2 linked regions of the Macaca fascicularis genome follow. The protein of the gene in region 1 interacts with the protein of each later gene in a pairwise test. Links are inferred from orthologs where the notes say so. Each region holds a gene or a part of one and is shown in the gene's direction. Other genes may lie near its edges.

Region 1 (5,794 bases):
GAACAGCCCCCTCCTCTCCCACCCCCATTTAGCAGGTTATATGACAGCCCCGCCCCAGAAGCCTCAGGCAGTCTCCTGGCAGAGCCCATCTCTGCAATCTGGAACTGCAGGCCTGAAAAATCCCCCAGAAGGACCCACAGGGAAGATAGCTGGGGACAGAGATATTGAATGACTTGCCCCTGGACATGCAGCTCTGCAAACTCACAGGAAGAAGAAAGCAGACCTTGCTCCCTTGGACAGATGCCCAAATAGTAATGGGGTTAGAATGCCTTCCTGACAACTCAGATCCCCAAGGGAGGGCCCTAGGGCAGAGAATTAGCAAAGGCAAGAGGATGAGTCTTAGTTCTCAGAAATCCCTGACTTCCCAGCTAAGCCCCACCTAGGCCACCAGCTGCTTATGAGGCTAGAGCAGCAGCAGCAGCCCCCTCCCTACCCCACGGCCCCACCTGGCAACAAGTCACAATGCCCCAGGTGCCCAGTCCCAGAATGCTGACCAAAGTGGGAGGAAGTGAGGAGGGTTTGGTGGGTGAGTATGGGGGAGGGGGAGACTCTGCAGGAACCTAATTCGCCACTCCGAGCTCACCCTTGTATCTGCCAGGGCCCTACCCCTTCCCCAACTCCCATTCCTGTAATCTTTTTCAGCACTAGTTCTTCCTGTCACCTCCACCTCCCTCCATGACCCGGCTCTGCTTACCCAGACCCGAAGCCCTTGAGGATCCGATCCCAGTTCCTCCTAGGGGCCTGGGTGCTGGGGAGGGGTTGGGTAGTCCAGTGCATCCACGTGTGTCCTCCTGGGGCCCTAACTGGGCCCAGCTCCTGGACAGTGTCCTAGGGCTGGGGGCACTAGGGCTGACAATCCGGGCAGTCTTTTCCACAACTGGCCCAGCCCTGCTGCTGCTTCTGGTCAGCTTCCTCGCCTTTGACCTGCTCCATAGGTAAGTGGGCAACAGCCTGGCAGGTGGGCATTGTAGGCGGGCAGGCCAGTGGACAACTTCCCTAAACCCAGCTGCCACCCTCTCTCTCTCCACAGGCCCGCAGGTCGCACTCTGCCACAGCACAAACTTCTCACGAGGGGCCAGAGTCAGGGGGCCGGTGAGGGTCCAGGACAGCAGGAGGCTCTACTCTTGCAAATGGGGAGAGTCTCAGGACAACTTAGCCTCCAGGACGCGCTGCTGCTGCTGCTCATGGGGCTGGGCCCGCTTCTGAGAGCCTGCGGCATGCCCTTGACCCTGCTTGGCCTGGCTTTCTGTCTCCATCCTTGGGCCTGAGAGCCCCTCCGCACAACTCAGTGTCCTTCAAATATACAATGGCCACCCTGCTTCCTCATGCCCCCTTTTCTCCTTCCTGGCTGGGCAGGTGGGACAATACCCCTTTCTTCCCAGCCTGAACCTCACAGGGCCTCCAGTCCTATAATATAGGTATCAGATACCCGGGTCTGAGTCTTGGGGCCGCCAGAGAAGGCAGGATACAAGCCAGGGAGCCTGGGGAAGAATGTGGCAGCCATCTCAGAGCCTGTGGGTTGGGGGCAGTCACTCTGACCTCCTCTGTGGCTCTAGAGAATGAACGTCCAGACAGAAAGACTTGCAGGAGAGCAGGGTGGAAAGGGGTGGGTATCAGCCAGCAGGGAAAGCAGGGAAGGGACGGGGATCCAGGGAGGGCTTCCCATGAGAAAGCATGAGAAACTACATCTGCGGGGCTCTGAGGCTCCCCTGCCAGCCTGGAGGGTCTGTGCAGAGGGACTCGGGTGGGCCTCACACCCTGCAGTGACTCCTCTCTTGGCTGGACCCCACCCCAGCCCGGGTCACAAAGGGGCTCCTCTGGGAAGGGTGGGGGTAGATGAGAGTGGGGACTTGGATTTGCCTGCCAGGCCGTCCTGGGTGCTGCAGGAAGCAACATGACTTAGGTAACTGCCCAGAGGTAAGTCCCAGACCCCAACTCTGTTGCCCCACCCCACCCACACTGGTGCCCTCCTGACCCCTGTACCCCCTCTCTGCCCCCCGCCCCGAGGTCCCAGGCATCTCCAAGGCCCTGGCCCTCTCCCCAGGTGCACCAGCCGTGATGCAGCAGCCGCGAGTGGAGACAGATACCATCGGGGCTGGCGAGGGGCCACAGCAGGCAGTGCCCTGGTCAGCCTGGGTCACAAGGCATGGCTGGGTACGCTGGTGGGTGAGCCACGTGCCCCCGAGCTGGATCCAGTGGTGGAGCACCTCGAACTGGCGGCAACCGCTGCAGCGCCTGCTGTGGGGTCTGGAGGGGATACTCTACCTGCTGCTGGCACTGATGCTGTGCCATGCACTCTTCACCACTGGCTCCTACCTACTGAGCTCCTTGTGGCCCGTCGTGGCCGCCGTGTGGCGCCACCTGCTACCGGCTCTCCTGCTGCTGGTGCTCAGTGCCCTGCCTGCCCTCCTCTTCACGGCCTCCTTCCTGCTGCTCTTCTCCACACTGCTAAGCCTCGTGGGCCTCCTCACCTCCATGACTCACCCAGGCTACACTCAGGATTTGGATCAATAGAAGGGCAACCCCATCCCACTGCCTGTGTCTGTTGAGCCCTGGCCTAGGGCCTGAGACCCTGTGGGGAGAGGGAGGGCAATGGGATAAGGGCCCCCTGCCTTGGCAGGCCCCAGACCCCCAGTCCCGAACAGGTAGACTGGCCTGACCCCGGACTCCTTCCTCAAGTCAATGCTGCAGGTTCCTGGTGTGAGGGGCTGGGGCCTTTGAGAAGAGCGGGCAGAACAGATGGCTTAGCCATTGGTGGAAATTGCTTAGCCAGGGGCAGAGCTTGACCAAGCCACTGACAGTGCCCATATGGATGTGATGATACCCGTGGGGCCCTCTTGGCAACTGACAGCATCTTTTTTTCACAGTCACTCAGCTGTCTCAGCTTCAGACTCACTGAAAACTTCTACCTGGGCACCCCTGGCCTTGCCATTCCTCCCAGCAATTCCCTTTTTTCATTTCCAGGAGAACCACAGACTCTAGAGAGGGTCCCAGTGACAAAAATCTATCAGGGAGAAGGCTGGCCAGAAGCCAGGAGACCTCAACTCCCTCGCCTCCAAACCTTGCAGCCCAGGCATCCTCCTCCCTAGACTTCCTACTTCCTGCCTCAGTCCGCATCCCCAAGTCTGAGAAATGGGCCAACTGGGGTCAGACAGTACCTACTCACTCTCTAAGAATCCCAAGGTCTGTTATGGGAAAATGATCAAGAAGTCTCATTTCACCCACTTACACAATGTGTGGCCTTGGCCAATTAATTCATTTGAGTCTCAATGTTAGGTGGGCCACTTCTGTCATGGGGTTGTTGTGAGTCAAAGACAATATCTATTTGTGAAGCATTTTGTCAAAACCAAAAACCTGTAAGATGTTGTTTTCACCTCTAAGAACATTCGGTAGGCTCAAAAGATCTTTTGACCCCAAAGACTGTTGAAGGAACAGGATGCTTCTCTGGGCTTTCAGATCAACTCTCTGTCCTGGTTAGAATTTTGGCCCTAAAATGGTAAACAAGAGGTTGGTTAAGTGTGGACAAGATATAAAAGGTCATGTGCCATGAAATCTCAAAATGTGCACATGTTGAACTATTTTGATTATGAAATGCTTGGGCCTGGGGCTGGGTGCCAGGAGATGCTTGCACAGCTGTGTAAGTGGGGAAAGCACAGTCCCAGGGTTTCCAAAACTGACCCAGCAAGCCGCTCAGGCACCAGAAGGGCTTTGGAAAGGGCAATCCTTTGATGCCCTGAATGCTGGCCATTCGTTCACTTGCTGGCCCCTCCAACAAAACATTGAGTTATTACCAAGTAAGCTACATGATAGACAACTTTATCCACACCTGACCCCCACCCAATCCCTGGCCATCCCCAACTCCTGCCCAGTTCTGATCCCTGCTTTATATATAACCCTAAAATCCTTGCTCTTGAAACCCCAGACCCAAGGTCCTCTTCTCTTGCCCCATAAATACTCAGGGCCTTGGGGTTGGTCCCTAGAACCCTGGTTCATTTTTGCCTTAGAGTTTTGCAACCCTCCATGCCACTGATTACATGCCTTCAGCATCAGTGCCAAAACCCAAGGTCCAGTCCTTCCTTTCTGTTTCTTTGTATTTCTCCCTGCATTATGGCCTGGTAGCGAGAGCAAGGTAGGACATGGGGCTGACATAGTCTCATGGTTAGATGGGTTTTGGTGTATGAGCTGAGGCTGGGCTTGAATACTAGCACTCTCACTTACTAGCTCCATGCCCTTAGTGGAAATTGCTAAACCTTCCTCAACTTCACTTTCCTCATGGATAAAACTAAGCAAGAACTCCTGTCTTAGGGTTCTGGCATGTGAGTGAAGGACCTGGGACCGCTCCTAGCACCACAAATTATAGCTATGCTGTGACCATCCCATTTTAGAGATGAGAAGTCAGGCCCAGGATAGCCATTTGCCAGTGGCAAGGCCAGGCCATCTGAGTCCTACCAGGCTACTCAAGAGAAGGTGAAGGGGGCAAAGGAAACACAAACAACCTGACTAACTGAAGACCCCATGGCTTCTCAAGAGCTCCTATCAGAGCTAAAGCCCAAGCCTAGGGAGGTTATGAGTCAAACCAATCTAGATGTCTGGCGGGCTGAGGATTCAGGATCCCATGTGGTGAGGGCGGAGACCAGGTTGCCTGGCCTAGATCCATCATTGACTTGGCCATGCATTGCTAGCCAGAGACATTGCTCTGGAGCCTTGGGTCCATTCCAATGAAGAGGGAGAGGAGTCTTGGGCCCTGACCAGATGCACTGGTGGATGGGATGTGGGCAGCAGCAAGGAGAAGACCTTCTTCCTTTCCCCGCAGAATATATACCTTTTACCCTTCTGCCCAGCTGGTATGGGGTAAGGAGGTGCAGCCAGACTGGAGAGCAGATGGGCAATACTCATCACATTGGATCAGCATATACCCTAGGACCCAGAATCCCAGAATGCATTTTCACAGAGGTCTATAAGGGCCTTGCTTCTCAAAATGTAGTCCCAGAATCAGCAACATAGGCATCACCTGGAAGCTGGTTAGAAATACAGTCTCAGGCCCTGCTGCAGACCGGCTGAATCAGAGCCTGCAATTTTTTTTTTTTTTTTTTTAAGACAGAGTCTTGCTTTGTTGTCCAGGCTGGAGTGCAGTGGTACAATCTCAGCTCACTGCACTCCACCTCCCAGGTTCAAGCAATTCTCCTGCCTCAGCCTCCCAAGTAGCTGGGATTACAGGCGCCTGCCACCGAGTCTGACTAATTTTTGTATTTTTAGTAGAGACGGGGTTTCACCACGTTGGTGCCAGACTGGTCTCGAACTCCTGACCTCAGGTGATCCACCCGCCTCAGCCTCCCAAAGTGCTGGGATTACAGGCATGAGCCACCGTGCCTGGCCAAGAGCCTGCATTTTAACAAGATTCCCAGGTGATACATTGCACCCTGTTTGAGAAGCGAAGCATAAGGGGGCACTATGAGAATGCCTATTGCACTGTTACTAGTGGGAGCAGGGTAGGTAAAGGGAAGGGTAAAACAAGGCAGATGGGCCCAAGGGGCAACAGTTAGAAGGGGCAGAAGGTACATGAACCAATCTTAAAATCCTAGCATTGAAAAATAAATGGAATGAGAATACAATTCCTTTTACACAAATGTAAAAGGTATGTCAGCAAAACAAGACACTTTTTGGCAAGAACACATAAAAACGGAAGATAAACAGAATGGAATGGACAACTCTAAGGGCAGGCAAGTGGGAGTAGGGTATAGAGATAACAGGCAATAAAGCTAGAGAGCTTGCAGAGGCGAAACGTGATACCATC
Region 2 (6,039 bases), on another chromosome or scaffold:
ATCTGCCCAGCAGCTGCCCATATGTCCCTCGGTCTGTTTGTCTTACACCCTCTAACTGCCTGTAATAGCCTGTATTGTTTCATCTGCATCTTCTCATGTCCCTGCCCCTCCTTCTGTCTGCTAGGCGCCCCCACCACCCTGCTTTCTTTCTATTTGCCTGACTGTTGGGATCTTCCTCTCCCCGCAGCTTTTGGGCTGCTCACCAGGGTGTCAACTTCACTTCAAAGCTGTGCCTGTGACACACGTGGCAGGTTCGAGCGCGAAGGGAAGCAAAGGTGAAGCCTGGCCGGGGACCCCATGTCCGCATTGGGGTCTTGGCTAACTTCACACCTAGCCTTGGGACCAAGCTCTCCAGCTCTCTAAATAGGGGGGAAGACGGAATCAGGCTGGCGGGGGTGCTTGGGAATCCAGGGCCCCAGCCCTCCCCAGCCTCAGATACCAGATTTCTATACCGATGCAGCCGGGCATCTCCCACAGTAAGCTGTTGGGGCTTTCGGGGGTCCCCAGAGCCCATGGGACAGGCCATGCTATGACAGAGGAGAGCATAGGCCCGAGGAGCCAGGTTCTCAGTCCCTGAGCCCCAGCTGGCAGTTCCCTGGGCTCCATCCACTAGCAGATCAATGCCCAAGATGGTGCCATGCTCATCCGTCACAAGCAACAGACAGGAAAGGTGCAGGGGGGCAGCCTCTGGGGAAAGAGGGAAAAGTTGAGGTGGTAGGGGACAGCGAGAGACATGTGGTCAGGGTCAGGAGTAGCAAACTCAGATACCTACAGGGGCTAGGCAAGTAACCTCACCGAGTAAAGGGCACTGGGTAGAGAGCACACACTCCTTCTAAAGGGGACAGCTGCTACAGAGGACCAGAACGCGCTGCCATGCACAAATGTAGGCCCCCTGTCAGAGCTTGAGATTTTTCTTGGGAATGTGTAAATCCAGACTTCTGGATATTTTTTTTCTCGTAATGTTTAAACATTAAATTAAAAAAAAACAAAACCCACTGTGGGTCAATAAAAACACCTTTTCAGGCCAGATTGGCCTGAAGGCCAGCACTCAGAACTAGTGGCAGGGGAGGGCTTCTGAAGGGAGGATGGCTGGGCAAGAGGTAGGGCAGGGCCAGCCCTGGGTTCTTACCACTCCTCTGTCCCTTGGTCTTCTGGGGTCTTGTTTCATTCTCCACCCTGTCCTCTCGGCAGCCATCTTTGCCACCTCCTGCCTCCCGGTCAGCCTCCTCTGACTCTCCTGGAGGGTTTGTTTCCTGCGGGGACTCCCTGCTGCTAGGAGCTAGCTCCCGGTCCTCCTCTGGTTCCACCTTCTCTGTGCCTGCACCCCCTTCCTCTCTCTTCTCTTCTTCTTCATCTTCCTCCTCTTCCTCCTCCCCTTCCTCCCCGTCCTCTAGGCTGACAAAGCTGACGTAGGGGCTCAGGTCTCGCAGGTGGAGTGGAGGGTCATCTCCCAGGAGCCGGGCAGACCCCAGGCCTGGTCCAGGACCTGGCTCTGCCCCTTGCCCCAGGCTGATGCCCACACTACGGTTGGGCAGGACATGGAGCACCCAAAGCGCAGGGTCCTGGGGCAGCCTTCTGATCTGGGCCTCCAGCTGCCACCAGCGGCCCTCAAGGCTAGTCCCTACAGCTCCACGCTCTGCCACAAACTTTCGGAACCAGCCGAAGAGAAGGGCAGCGAAATCAAGGAACTCATCCCGGTATCCAGACACAAACTCCATGTCTTCAGGCGCACAGGGCCCCGGCCCAGACTGAGCAAAAGAAGGGATATATGGTGAGGGACAGGAGAGCAACGATGGAGTTTGGGGCTAGGTCACAAATTTGGGGGAGAGGGTAGGTTTGAGAGTCACTTAGGATTGGATCCACGAATATGCTAGGAGCTGAGAAGAGGGTTTTCAGGGCTGAGGATGGGAGTTCAGGGAGGAAAATGGGGGCTGGACTTGAAAGTGGGTGACCAGAGTTGGAGAAGACTACTCAGGGATGAGATGGTATTTGGGGCTTAACATTGGAGAGTTCAGACCCTCAAAAGCAGAGTTTAAATTAAGGCTAGAGAGGAGAGAGGGCTAATCCTATCGGGAAGGGTTTGGTGGGGAGGGAAGCATTTTGGACGTGTCCGTCGGGTATGGGAGTGGGAGCGAGGGTGTTCCCTGCGCTCGGATCGGCGTGACGGGCAGCCCCGGTAGACCTAGCCCCTCCCGACCACCCCAATCCTCCGGTACCTGCAGCCGCCACCACTTTTCGAAGGTAAATACCTCGGGGTGGAGGGTGCGCGGGTGCGGTCGTGACGTCAGGGCTGCCCGAGCCCTCGCCGGCTGAGCGGGCGGCCACGCCCCCGGGCTCGGTGCGTCCGCGGGTGGTGGCCCCGCAGGTGCGCGCGGCCGGGGCTGGCGGCGACTCCCTCCACCGGGCCGCCCGGGAGGCTCATATAGCGCGGCTGGGTCCCGCGGCGCCGGGAGCGGGGAAGTGAAAGTGCCTTGGAGGACGAGGGCCGGTCCGGCCGTGCGGCCGCCTCACAGGTCCGCGGGCGCTCGGGGCGGGCGAGGCGGGTGGCCTCCTGAACCGAACCGAATCGGCTCCTCGGGACGCCGTCCTCCCGCCCCTCCTCGCCCGCCGCCCGAGTTTTCTTTCGGTTTCTTCCAAGATTCCTGGCCGTCCATCCACGGAGCTCGGGCCCAGTGCGGGGGCGCAGGGCGCGGGAGCTCCTCCTCCCGAGTTTTCCCTGTGGCCAGAGGCTGGCACGGCGCGGGCCGGGTACTGAGCGCACGATCGGGGCGCAGCGGGGCCGGGGGCTGCAGCTGGCTCGCGCCTCCTCTCCGGCCGCGACCTGGCGTCGACGGCCGCCGTCTCCTCCAGTCCTTGGCGAAAGCCATTGAGAAACCAGCTGGACGTCATGCGCCGGAGCCTGTCTGGGAGTCAGAGCGCGGCGGCTCCATCCCCGCAGACTCCGCGGAGCCCCGACATGGGACAGGCCTTGGTGCCCGGGGCCCGCGCGCTCCTGCTCCTGCTCCTGCTGGCGTGCCTGCCTCCGCCAGGTTAGCCGGGGGCGGGACAGGGGACCCAGATTCCCCAGTCATGGGAAGGGGGTGATTTGGGGAGGGGACATGAGGCCCACGGAGTTGAGTTGATGAAGGCAGCGGGGACAAGAGGAAAGCCAGCCAGCCGCTTGGGGTTGGGGACAGAGGCCCCGGGACACCTGGCTCCGGGCGGGATTATGGATGTTGTGGGGGTCGTGATAATGTGTGGGGTGAGCCTGGCGCTCTGACCCTGGGTCCACGGGAGAGGCTGTCATGGAGCTGTGGATTGGAGGCCAGGGAACAGCGGAGTGGGGACCCTAGGCCTGGGAACGCGTGCTGACCACCTCTGTCCTGCTCAGGCAATGGCAACGAGGGCACCGTCACTGGAAGCTGTCATTGTAGTAAAAGAATTTCTTCTGACTCCCCGCCATCGGCTCAGTTCATGAATCGTCTCCGGAAACACCTGAGAGCTTACCATCACTGTCTACACTACATCAGGTAATTTCACCTGCCTCTGCGAGCGCCTGCGCGGCCCCTCCTTGCCAGGTGCGTCCAGGACCCTCTCTGGTCAAACCTGAACTCCTTCCCGGCGCACCTAGCCCGATCTCCGGGTTCTGTTTGCTCCCATTCCCCGAAATTTCATGACTCCGTAGCACCTACCGGGGAATTTCCCAGTCCCAGCAGAAAGGGCTCTTGGTAGCGACTTAACGCCTTTGGAATGAGGAAGGAAAGGAGGAGCCGCAGCTGAGCCCAGGTCTCTCCTCCGCAGGTTCCAGTTGCCTTCCTGGAGCGTGTGTGGGGGCAGTAAGGACCCATGGGTTCGGGAATTGATGAGCTGTCTTGATCTCAAAGGTGAGACTTCCCCACTGCTCTTCAGGCTCTGCCTCCAGGGCTTAGCGGGTTCCACCTGACCGTCTTCTTTACCTGAGGCTTTTCTCCTGGGGCCGCACATTCCCAGAACCTTCTTCTGATCCTGTCCAAAGTACTTAGACTCAGTCCCCGTTTGCCAGCGGGTTGATCATTCACCATCACCTTCATGATTTTTGCCAATTCATTCTACCACGTGTGCTATTGTCTACTTATTAATATTTTTCTTGAAATCAAAGTACTATTTTATTTTATTTTATTGAGATGGAGTCTCGCCCTGTCGTCCAGGCTGGAGTGCAGTGGCACGATCTTGGCTTGCTGCAACCTCTACCTCCCAGGTTCAAGCGATTCTCCTGCCTCAGCCTCCTGAGTAGCTGGGATTACAGGCGCGCACCACCAAGCCTGGCTAATTTTTTTATTTTTAGTAGAGACGGGGTTTCACCATGTTGGCCAGGCTGGTCTTGAACTCCTGGCCTTGTGATCCGCCCGCCTCGGCCTCCAAAAGTGCTAGGATTACAGGCGTGAGCCACCACACCTGGCCTATTTTTCTTTTCCAATATTTTATTATGAAAATTTACACATATACAAAAGTTGAAAGAATGGCACACTGAATATGCAATGCCTCCACCTAGATTCGACAATTTTATTTATGTATATTTTACATATTTACATAAACATATATTTTACACTATCAATTTTACAGCACTTACACGATATTTGCTTTATTAAGTATAATCTATTCATCCTTCTATCCATCATCCATCACCTTATTTCTCGATGCATTTTTTTTTTTTTTTTTTTTTTGAGACGGAGTCTCGCTCTGTCGCCCAGGCTGGAGTGCAGTGGCCTGATCTCAGCTCACTGCAAGCTCCGCCTCCCGGGTTCACGCCATTCTCCTGCCTCAGCCTCCCGAGTATCTGGGACCACAGGCGCCCGCCAGCTCGCCCGGCTAGTTTTTTGTATTTTTTAGTAGAGACGGGGTTTCACTGTGTTAGCCAGGATGGTCTCGATCCTGACCTTGTGATCCACCCGTCTCGGCCTCCCAAAGTGCTGGGATTACAGGCTTGAGCCACCTCGCCCGGCCATTTTTTTTTTTTTAATGGAGTCTTACTCTGTCACCCAGGCTGGAGTGCAATGGTGTGCTCAGCTCCCTGCAGCCTCCGCCTCCCAGGTTCAAGCAATTCTCCTGCCTCAGCCTCCCAAGTAGCTGGGATTACAGGCGCCCGCCACCGTGCCCGGCTAATTTTTGTATTTTTTTAGTAGAGACGAGGTTTCTCCATGTTGGTCAGGCTGGTCTCAAACTCTTGACCTCAGGTGATCCACCCGCCTCAGCCTCCCAGAGTGCTGGGATTACAGGCGTGAGCCACCATGCCCAGCCTCTTGGTGCATTTCAAGGCAGGTTGCGGACATCGTTGTACTTCATCCCAAGACATTTCAGCATGTATATTAAGTAGAGTTCAATATTTTAATGCTTTCTTCTCTTTTGAGTTCAAATTTACGTACAATGAAATGAATTACTTTTAAGTGTGCACAAACTAGTTTTGAAAACTTAAGTAGAGGCCCCCAGATCTTCCTCCAAATCTCAACTCGCGAGGCTGGAGAGGTCGGGCGCGGTGGCTCACGCCTGTAATCCCAGCACTCTGGGAGGCTGAGGCGGGCGGATCACCTGAGGTCAGGAGTTTGAGACCAGCCTGACCAACATGGTAAAATCCCATCTCTCCTAAAAATACAAAATTAGCCAGGCATGGTGGCAGGTGCCTGTAATCCCAGCTACTTGGGAGGCTGAGGCAGGAGAATCGCTTGAACCTGGGGGCGGAGTGCAGTGAGCCAAGATCACGCCATTGCACTCCAGCCTGGGCAACCAAAAAAAAAAAAAAAAGAAAGAAAGAAAACTTAAATAGTAAATTATCCTAAGCAATAACATCTGTGAAGTCACAAGTTTGATGCACTGGTTGTATTTTTCTCTTAAAATAAATATACAACCTTTAAAATACAAAAGGTTCTTCCATGTCCTAGCTAAAGTTTTGTATGATCTGTGTCATCCATACTGCCTTTAAGTCTGCCTAGACCTACATGATTTCCTTTCATCCTCCCAGTTACCCTGGCCCTTGGTACTACAATTATCCTCATGTTACAGCTGGAAGAAATCACTTCCGGAGAG

Evidence for each region. The genes of interacting proteins can lie anywhere in the genome.
Region 2: the proteins of TMEM239 (region 1) and CXCL16 interact in a two-hybrid assay, tested with the Homo sapiens proteins (2 studies listed by BioGRID). The two-hybrid records come from large-scale screens. The link is inferred for Macaca fascicularis from reciprocal best matches to the Homo sapiens genes TMEM239 and CXCL16.

The regions. Positions count from the first base shown.
Region 1 is NC_088384.1:84,489,332-84,495,125, reverse strand, and holds TMEM239 (transmembrane protein 239), read left to right. Parts: upstream 1-1,803; 5' UTR 1,804-1,836; coding exon 1,837-1,917; intron 1,918-2,007; coding exon 2,008-2,514; 3' UTR 2,515-5,786; downstream 5,787-5,794. Other genes in the region: C10H20orf141 (uncharacterized protein C20orf141 homolog), read left to right, coding at 676-935, 1,031-1,268.
Region 2 is NC_088390.1:4,833,226-4,839,264, reverse strand, and holds the start of CXCL16 (C-X-C motif chemokine 16), read left to right. Parts: upstream 1-2,337; 5' UTR 2,338-2,887; coding exon 2,888-3,029; intron 3,030-3,370; coding exon 3,371-3,509; intron 3,510-3,780; coding exon 3,781-3,863; intron 3,864-6,039. Other genes in the region: ZMYND15 (zinc finger MYND domain-containing protein 15), read right to left, coding at 204-687, 1,130-1,718. UniProt on the Homo sapiens protein: Acts as a scavenger receptor on macrophages, which specifically binds to OxLDL (oxidized low density lipoprotein), suggesting that it may be involved in pathophysiology such as atherogenesis. Induces a strong chemotactic response. Induces calcium mobilization.